2 linked regions of the Xenopus tropicalis genome follow. Each later gene encodes a partner of the first gene's protein in a complex. Links are inferred from orthologs where the notes say so. Each region holds a gene or a part of one and is shown on either strand. Other genes may lie near its edges.

The links. The genes of interacting proteins can lie anywhere in the genome.
Region 2: tada3 (region 1) and supt7l share a complex: the UniProt entries of both Homo sapiens proteins name them as parts of the STAGA transcription coactivator-HAT complex. The link is inferred for Xenopus tropicalis from reciprocal best matches to the Homo sapiens genes TADA3 and SUPT7L.

Annotation. Positions count from the first base shown.
Region 1 is NC_030680.2:138,580,975-138,585,262, forward strand, and holds the start of tada3 (transcriptional adapter 3), read right to left. Parts: upstream 2,801-4,288; 5' UTR 2,613-2,800; intron 2,513-2,612; 5' UTR 2,371-2,512; intron 411-2,370; 5' UTR 393-410; coding exon 186-392; intron 1-185. UniProt on the Homo sapiens protein: Functions as a component of the PCAF complex. The PCAF complex is capable of efficiently acetylating histones in a nucleosomal context. The PCAF complex could be considered as the human version of the yeast SAGA complex.
Region 2 is NC_030681.2:5,371,949-5,376,135, forward strand, and holds the start of supt7l (STAGA complex 65 subunit gamma), read right to left. Parts: upstream 2,801-4,187; 5' UTR 2,784-2,800; intron 854-2,783; 5' UTR 733-853; coding exon 320-732; intron 1-319. Other genes in the region: slc4a1ap (kanadaptin), read left to right, coding at 2,972-4,187.

The DNA of each region.
Region 1 (4,288 bases):
ACAATAAATATAACGGGCAGCATATGCAGCATTTTGCCATCTGAAGATTTATACCAACTCAAACCTATAGACATTCCTACTGGGCATGAAACCCTCCTACACAAGGGCATATTCCTTCATGCCAAGTACACTGGGCAGCCACTGCTGAGGGACGGGTGCTCTACATTTAACCCCCTGATTTTTACCTGGGTCTCCGCTTCCAGAACACGGAGCCTCCTGCTTGCAGAGGACAGTAGGGTTTCCAGCTCCAGCTGAAGGGTATCCAGCTCCTCAATCCCGATTCCGTCATCCTCGGAGCGGGACAGAACTGCGGTGTATCTGGGGCACAACTTGACATGGTCCACAGATTTGAAGTCATGGAACTGGAGAGGGCAATCCTTTAACTCGCTCATTCTGCCAAGGCTGGCGGCCTGCAACAAAGAATAATACAAAAGGTTAAGATAATTTTTTTTTTAGAATACAACCTCTGCATTATTTGAGTGCAAGCCCTTTTTCTCTATTTAGTGCGCTGAAGAATCTACTGTTGGACCTAGGCCAACTCCCATCAGCCCCTTATTTCCACCTAGCCATATACAACACCTATAACATTGTTTTGTTTTAAAAGGGGGCCCTATGGAGGGCCAAGTCTGACCCTGGTCTAATATGATACACCAGCAAAAATGCAAGAGCTCAAAAATCCCCCCTCTGAAATAAACAGCGAATCCCTTCTTAAACCTAGAATACATGCATATGTTGCACCAACACAAATGTATGCAACCATACTCTGCAGCACCAATAGGCAACAAGCCATACCACATGTGCATACTGTTCACCAATGCTGTAATGCAGGTGAATGCGGTACCCCCAATACACTAAGATGAATATATCATCTATACTCTGCAGCACTAATGCACGTGTATATTGTTCTGTACCCCAAAATACCAGGACTGTCTGTGCACCTATAGCCTGCAGCACTAATGCATTTGTATATTGCAGCCTTCATACCCTGCAGCACTAATACATGTGTATATTACAGCCTTCATGTACCCATACCCTGCAGCACAAATGCATTTGTATATTTTAGCCTCCATACCCTGCAGCACTAATGCATGTGTATATTGCAGCCTCCATACCCTGCAGCACTAATGCATGTGTATATTGCAGCCTCCATACCCTGCAGCACTAATGCATGTGTATATTGCATCCTCCATACCCTGCAGCACTAATGCATGTGTATATTGCATCCTCCATACCCTGCAGCACTAATGCATGTGTATATTGCAGCCTCCATACCCTGCAGCACTAATGCATGTGTACATTGCAGCCTCCATACCCTGCAGCACTATGCAGCACTAATGCATGTCTACATTGCAGCCTCCATACCCTGCAGCACTAATGCATGTGTATATTGCAGCCTCCATACCCTGCAGCACTAATGCATGTGTATATTGCAGCCTCCATACCCTGCAGCACTAATGCATGTGTATATTGCAGCCTCCATACCCTGCAGCACTAATGCATGTGTATACTGCAGCCTCCATACCCTGCAGCACTAATGCATGTGTATACTGCAGCCTCCAAACCCTGCAGCACTAATGCATGTGTATATTGCATCCTCCAAACCCTGCAGCACTAATGCATGTGTATATTGCATCCTCCATACCCTGCAGCACTAATGCATGTGTATATTGCAGCCTCCAAACCCTGCAGCACTAATGCATGTGTATATTGCATCCTCCAAACCCTGCAGCACTAATGCATGTGTATATTGCATCCTCCAAACCCTGCAGCACTAATGCATGTGTATATTGCAGCCTCCAAACCCTGCAGCACTAATGCATGTGTATAGTGCAGCCTCCATACCCTGCAGCACTAATGCATGTGTATATTGCAGCCTCCATACCCTGCAGCACTAATGCATGTGTATATTTTAGCCTCCATACCCTGCAGCACTACTGCATGTGTATATTGCAGCCTCCATACCCTGCAGCACTAATGCACAGCCAGCTGTAATGGCCGGCCATACTGTACCCCAATGCCCCAGTACTATTGATAAGTGCACCCATACCCCCAATGCACAACAGGCTATAGGGCAGGTGTATACTGTATGCCTATGCAGGAGCAGTAACACTATGCACCTGTGCCCTGGGGTAGGGGTTATTACTAATAACCCCTTATGTACAGGTAACTGCTCTCCAGTTGCTGCAGAACTGGCGCTTTGCGAAAGGGGCGGCTGGGAGTTGTAGTCCTATTCTATTACAGCAGGGGAGTAAACGTATTTAGTAGCCTATGGCTACCAAATGACGCATTGTTACAGGTACTCTCCGCATATAACGCAAGCACTGAGCCCCCACGCACGGTATATACCGACACCACACAATATGCCCGTACCCACACTCCGGCCTGGCCCCCTCAATGGATCCTGCTCCTGCGCTCGTTTCCTTTGTCTCCCAACGGCCAGTAGGGGGCAGAGCCAAGCTCCTCACGCAAGGCCGCCACTGTCACCGCCTGTCAGTCACCCGGGAGCGTACCACTGCGGAAAAACAAATAGGGGTGTCAGTAAATGGGGAACAACTAATAAGGCTGGAATAGGCCGTTGAGCACAATAACCCGTTCTTAGGGAACGTTCTTACCACAAGCGCCTAATGGGTTCACGTCCACAAGGCACAATCTCTTTTAAGCACCCATTTTGTGCCCCGATGGAATCAACCATAGAGAAGAATCGTACTTGGCGCGCAATGGCGGCATTGGGAAGGCTTAGCCTGTGGGCTCCCGTAGTATTACTATTGATGTGCAGCTGTGATAGATCCGCAGGTATCTGGTATCATAAGCCTCTAGCAGTCGTGATAACAATCTCTCTCATGAATACCTTGTAAGAAATTTCTCCCGGTCGCTCATGTTCTGTTTGTACACCCCCTAAACCCCACTTTGGTCTGACCCGCCTGCATTCCACATTCCCTAATATGGCGTGAAGCGGGGCGAGCCGGACCATTTTCAAGAGGAGGGTGCACACCGGGTAAATTCATATAGTATTGCTTTTTATACGTATATGAGAATAATAATGTAACAAGAACGGAACTGAGATATGCTTATGTGTATATCCACAGCCCAAGCGGCTAAATTAATCTACATGGTTTAAGTATAAATGTTCGCCCAACCCCAGTTTATGATGGTTTAGTCCGACCGCTGGCTGTGCCAGTGAGGGGGAAGAGAGGTAGTGCGCATGTGCGAGTCTGTCACTTCCGCTATCGGGGGATACCGGAGCGATGGTGAGTGTGAGGGGCGGGGGGTTTTACGGAGAAATTGACACGAAAGAGCGACAACAGTCCGGGATAGAGAACCGGGCTATAGGCCGCCTGTGTTTGCCATGCTAAGCCCGTGGGTCGAGCAGGGAGCGGTGCAGGGGCGGCTTAGGGAACCGGTCTTGGGCGGGGGCCCGGCGTAGGAATGTTCATAAGACGCGGTGTATTCCTTACATTCATACAGTGATCCCTCTGTAATACTAAGGAAGACTGTGCGGAACTACAACTAAACGTCCTTCCCATAGGGGATTAAGCGAATCCCTCCATAGGCATTGCCTGCCTGACATCTGTATAGTGAGAGCTGCAGTTCCGCAACACTCGCCCAACCTGTAACTGCCTGTTGGCACTGCCACCGGCGGGACTTTCATTTTATTCAGCTTTAAGGCAATGTATGTGCTAGTGAGAGCGGGGTTTGCTCCATTCTCTCTGATTCCTGCACTGCCGGCTCTCACTATTGACACTTTGTATCTGAAGCCAGCTGAGGCATTGCCCATACACGCAGCAGGAGAGCTTGGCTTCTGCTACATTGTTGTAAGAGTGAGAATAACCTTGATTGCTTTTTAATTGCAATGACTGCTAATAGACAGTTGGCTAGGCAACATTTCAATTCTGGGATTACTTCCCCTTTAAAATATGTGGGTGTCTTTACTGGAGCAAGAACTGTCCTTTGGGCAGGTTGTGAGTTTCTACTTATGATTGACTGGTTTTGTTTATTTTCTTATCACTGGCTTGCCCATAGCACTTGTGTATCTTGAGCAGGGATCCCCAACCTTTTTGTTTTTACCTGTGAGCCACAGTCAGATGTAAAAAGAGTTGGGGAGCAACACAAGCCTAAAAAATGTCAATCCAAATATAGAGGAGAGCACCATAAAGCAGAATTCTGCTCAAATGCTATTTATTTCAGACCAAAATACACAACATGTTTCGGGCAATGTGACGCCGTTTTTTACTTGATAAAGGGCATCACATTGCCCGAAACATGTTGTGTATTTTGGTCGGAAATAAAT
Region 2 (4,187 bases), on another chromosome or scaffold:
CTTCTTGAATCACAAACTCCCTGCTCCTCCACTTAAAAAGCTGCCATTAGAAGGTTCAGGTACCTCCCACTGCGAGGCACAAAGACGTACCTTTAGGGGTATATTTATCATGCTTTGTAAAAAGTGGAGTGAAGCATTACTGGTGATGTTGCCCAGGGCAACCAATCAGCTATTAGATTTCAACAGCAAACAAATCATCTGATCTGATTGGCTGCTATGAGCAACATCACTGGTAATGTTTTACTTCACTTTTTACACAACATGATAAATATACACCTTAATGTACAGGGCTGCAGACACAAGAAGTACGATATAATACCTGTAGAATTCACTCTCAGGGTCGCTGTGCCGAATCTGGAATGGCAGCTTGGGGACCTTACAGTCCTGGGGCAGCAGATCCTCTGGGAGGGCAGGAGAGGTAGGCCTGAGGGGTAAAGGCTCGCTCTCCTCCACCTTCATACCCTCCACCTGCTGCTGGTTCTGAGCCTGAGCGCCGGCGATGAGGCCCCGCAGTCTGCGGTTATGCTGGATGAGCTGAATGGTGTGGATAGTCAGGCTGCAGGGTTCAGAGGGAATGTCCAGCATAGTGGTAGGCCGGGGCTTATTGGCCGATGGCTGGTGTAGGGGAGGCTCCTGCATTTCCACCGTTCGGAACTCGCGTTGCAGGAGATCAAAGGAGCTTCTATTGGCCTGCCCAGAGGAGACTGGGATCTCGCCCCAATAGCGCATCATCTTCCCTCTCTTTGTGTCAGTGATTATAGTCACACAATCAATGGACTCTCATTCAGCTATGATATCTCTGTCATTCTGGGCCTCTCTCTGCCGCATCAGCCGCTTCTCTTATATTAATCACCTGCATGGCGCAAAGTAACAAAAAGTACAGTGAGAAAATAGATATGGGATCCCTTATCCAGAAAGTTTAGAATCACGGAAAGGCCATCTCCCATAGACTCTATTATAAGCAAATAATGCTAATTTTTAAAAACGATTTCCTTTTTCTCTGTAATAATAAAACAGTACCTGTACTTGATCCCAACTAAGATATAATTACCCCTTATTGGGGCAGAACAGCCCTATTGGGTTTATTTAATGGTTAAATGATTCCCTTTTCTCTGTAATAATAAAACAGTACCTGTACTTGATCCCAACTAAGATATAATTACCCCTTATTGGGGGTAGAACAGCCCTATTGGGTTTATTTCATGGTTAAATGATTCCCTTTTCTCTGTAATAATAAAACAGTACCTGTACTTGATCCCAACTAAGATATAATTACCCCTTATTGGGGGCAGAACAGCCCTATTGGGTTTATTTAATGGTTAAATGATTCCCTTTTCTCTGTAATAATAAAACAGTACCTGTACTTGATCCCAACTAAGATATAATTACCCCTTATTGGGGCAGAACAGCCCTATTGGGTTTATTTAATGGTTAAATGATTCCCTTTTCTCTGTAATAATAAAACAGTACCTGTACTTGATCCCAACTAAGATATAATTACCCCTTATTGGGGCAGAACAGCCCTATTGGGTTTATTTAATGGTTAAATGATTCCCTTTTCTCTGTAATAATAAAACAGTACCTGTACTTGATCCCAACTAAGATATAATTACCCCTTATTGGGGGCAGAACAGCCCTATTGGGTTTATTTAATGGTTAAATGATTCCCTTTTCTCTGTAATAATAAAACAGTACCTGTACTTGATCCCAACTAAGATATAATTACCCCTTATTGGGGCAGAACAGCCCTATTGGGTTTATTTAATGGTTAAATGATTCCCTTTTCTCTGTAATAATAAAACAGTACCTGTACTTGATCCCAACTAAGATATAATTACCCCTTATTGGGGGCAGAACAGCCCTATTGGGTTTATTTAATGGTTAAATGATTCCCTTTTCTCTGTAATAATAAAACAGTACCTGTACTTGATCCCAACTAAGATATAATTACCCCTTATTGGGGGCAGAACAGCCCTATTGGGTTTATTTAATGGTTAAATGATTCCCTTTTCTCTGTAATAATAAAACAGTACCTGTACTTGATTCCAACTAAGATATAATTACCCCTTATTGGGGGCAGAACAGCCCTATTGGGTTTATTTCATGGTTAAATGATTCCCTTTTCTCTGTAATAATAAAACAGTACCTGTACTTGATCCCAACTAAGATATAATTACCCCTTATTGGGGGCAGAACAGCCCTATTGGGTTTATTTAATGGTTAAATGATTCCCTTTTCTCTGTAATAATAAAACAGTACCTGTACTTGATCCCAACTAAGATATAATTACCCCTTATTGGGGCAGAACAGCCCTATTGGGTTTATTTCATGGTTAAATGATTCCCTTTTCTCTGTAATAATAAAACAGTACCTGTACTTGATCCCAACTAAGATATAATTACCCCTTATTGGGGGCAGAACAGCCCTATTGGGTTTATTTCATGGTTAAATGATTCCCTTTTCTCTGTAATAATAAAACAGTACCTGTACTTGATCCCAACTAAGATATAATTACCCCTTATTGGGGGCAGAACAGCCCTATTGGGTTTATTTCATGGTTAAATGATTCCCTTTTCTCTGTAATAATAAAACAGTACCTGTACTTGATCCCAACTAAGATATAATTACCCCTTATTGGGGGCAGAACAGCCCTATTGGGTTTATTTCATGGTTAAATGATTCCCTTTTCTCTGTAATAATAAAACAGTACCTGTACTTGATCCCAACTAAGATATAATTACCCCTTATTGGGGCAGAACAGCCCCCCAGGAGCCCCCCATTACCTCACACAGTCAGTCCGGTTTCCCTGTGTCCCAGACTGGGGGGGGGGGGCACGCCGGAAGTGATCTCATCAACAGGCGCCTCCATGAGACCGGAAGCAGCTGCGGGCCGCTCTGTGGTGTTTGTAGCGGGATAACGTACCGTGGGTTCCGGATTCTCCTCCCGAACCGGTGAAAGTGGCGCTGGATACATGGAGGCCCTTGCACATGACCCGGATGGCAGGGAACGGGCCAGTTATCCCGGGGCCGCTGCCTTGGAAGCCGGGGATACGGGGGCCCCTGGGGCCGGGGATAATGGGCAAGGGGGGAGCGCTGCCGGGGAACCTCCCAGTACCGGGGGCCCGACCGATACTGCCAATGGGGCCCCCACTCCAGGGCCCGGGGTTGCTGAGAGGGGTGGGGGTGAGGGGGCCGGGGGCAGCGAGGGCCCCAAGAATGTTTGTTCCAGGGGGGTCAGGGATAGCCATGAGGGGCTTGGGGGCCACAGGCATGAGAGTTCCTCTTGTACAGGGACCAGTGCAGAAACCCAACGGGATTCCAGGCCCACCCAGGGGCCCAATGATAGCCAGTCCCAGGGGCCCAATGATAGCCAGTCCCAGGGGCCCAATGATAGCCAGTCCCAGGGGCCCAATGATAGCCAGTCCCAGGGGCCCAATGATAGCCAGTCCCAGGGGCCCAATCATGCCCAATCTGAGGGGTCCCATGTTACCCAATGCAAGGGGCCCAATGATAGCCAATGCCAGGGGCCCAATCATGCCCAATGCCAGGGGCCCAATCATGCCCAATGCCAGGGGCCCAATCATGCCCAATCTGAGGGGTCCCATGTTACCCAATGCCAGGGGCCCAATAATACCCAATCCCGGGGGGCCAATAATGCCCAATCCCAGGGGTCCCATGTTACCCCCAAGGGGCCCGATAATAGCCAATCCCAGGGGCCCCATGTTACCCAATCCCATGGGGAGGGGCAGTCCAGCTCCTGGACCAATGAGGATGAACACTCCAATGCTTCTGGGGCCAGCACCCCCAAGGAATCCAGTTCACCCAGGGGCATCAGTTCCACGGGCCCCGATTCTGCAGGGGCCACTCCAGAGAAACAACCTAGTCCCAGGCCCAGTTATGGGGAGATTGCCTCAAGGACTCCCAGTAAGGATGGAGGCTCTGGCTGCAGTGCGCCCAGGGACAGTCCCATGGAGGGGCCCGATGATGCCAGGACCACAGAATCCTTTAAGAAACCCATCTTTGCTGCCCGCCCGAGTGGCACTGAAAAGGCAGCTCAGCCAAGGGACAAACCAGTCGTCCATTCACAGCCTTCGGCCCCAACTTGCAGCAGGACCCCCAGCGCTGAAACGCCCACGGATGGCAATGCCAGGCTTCCCTCTGATGCCTACCGAACCTGCCCTGCCATTC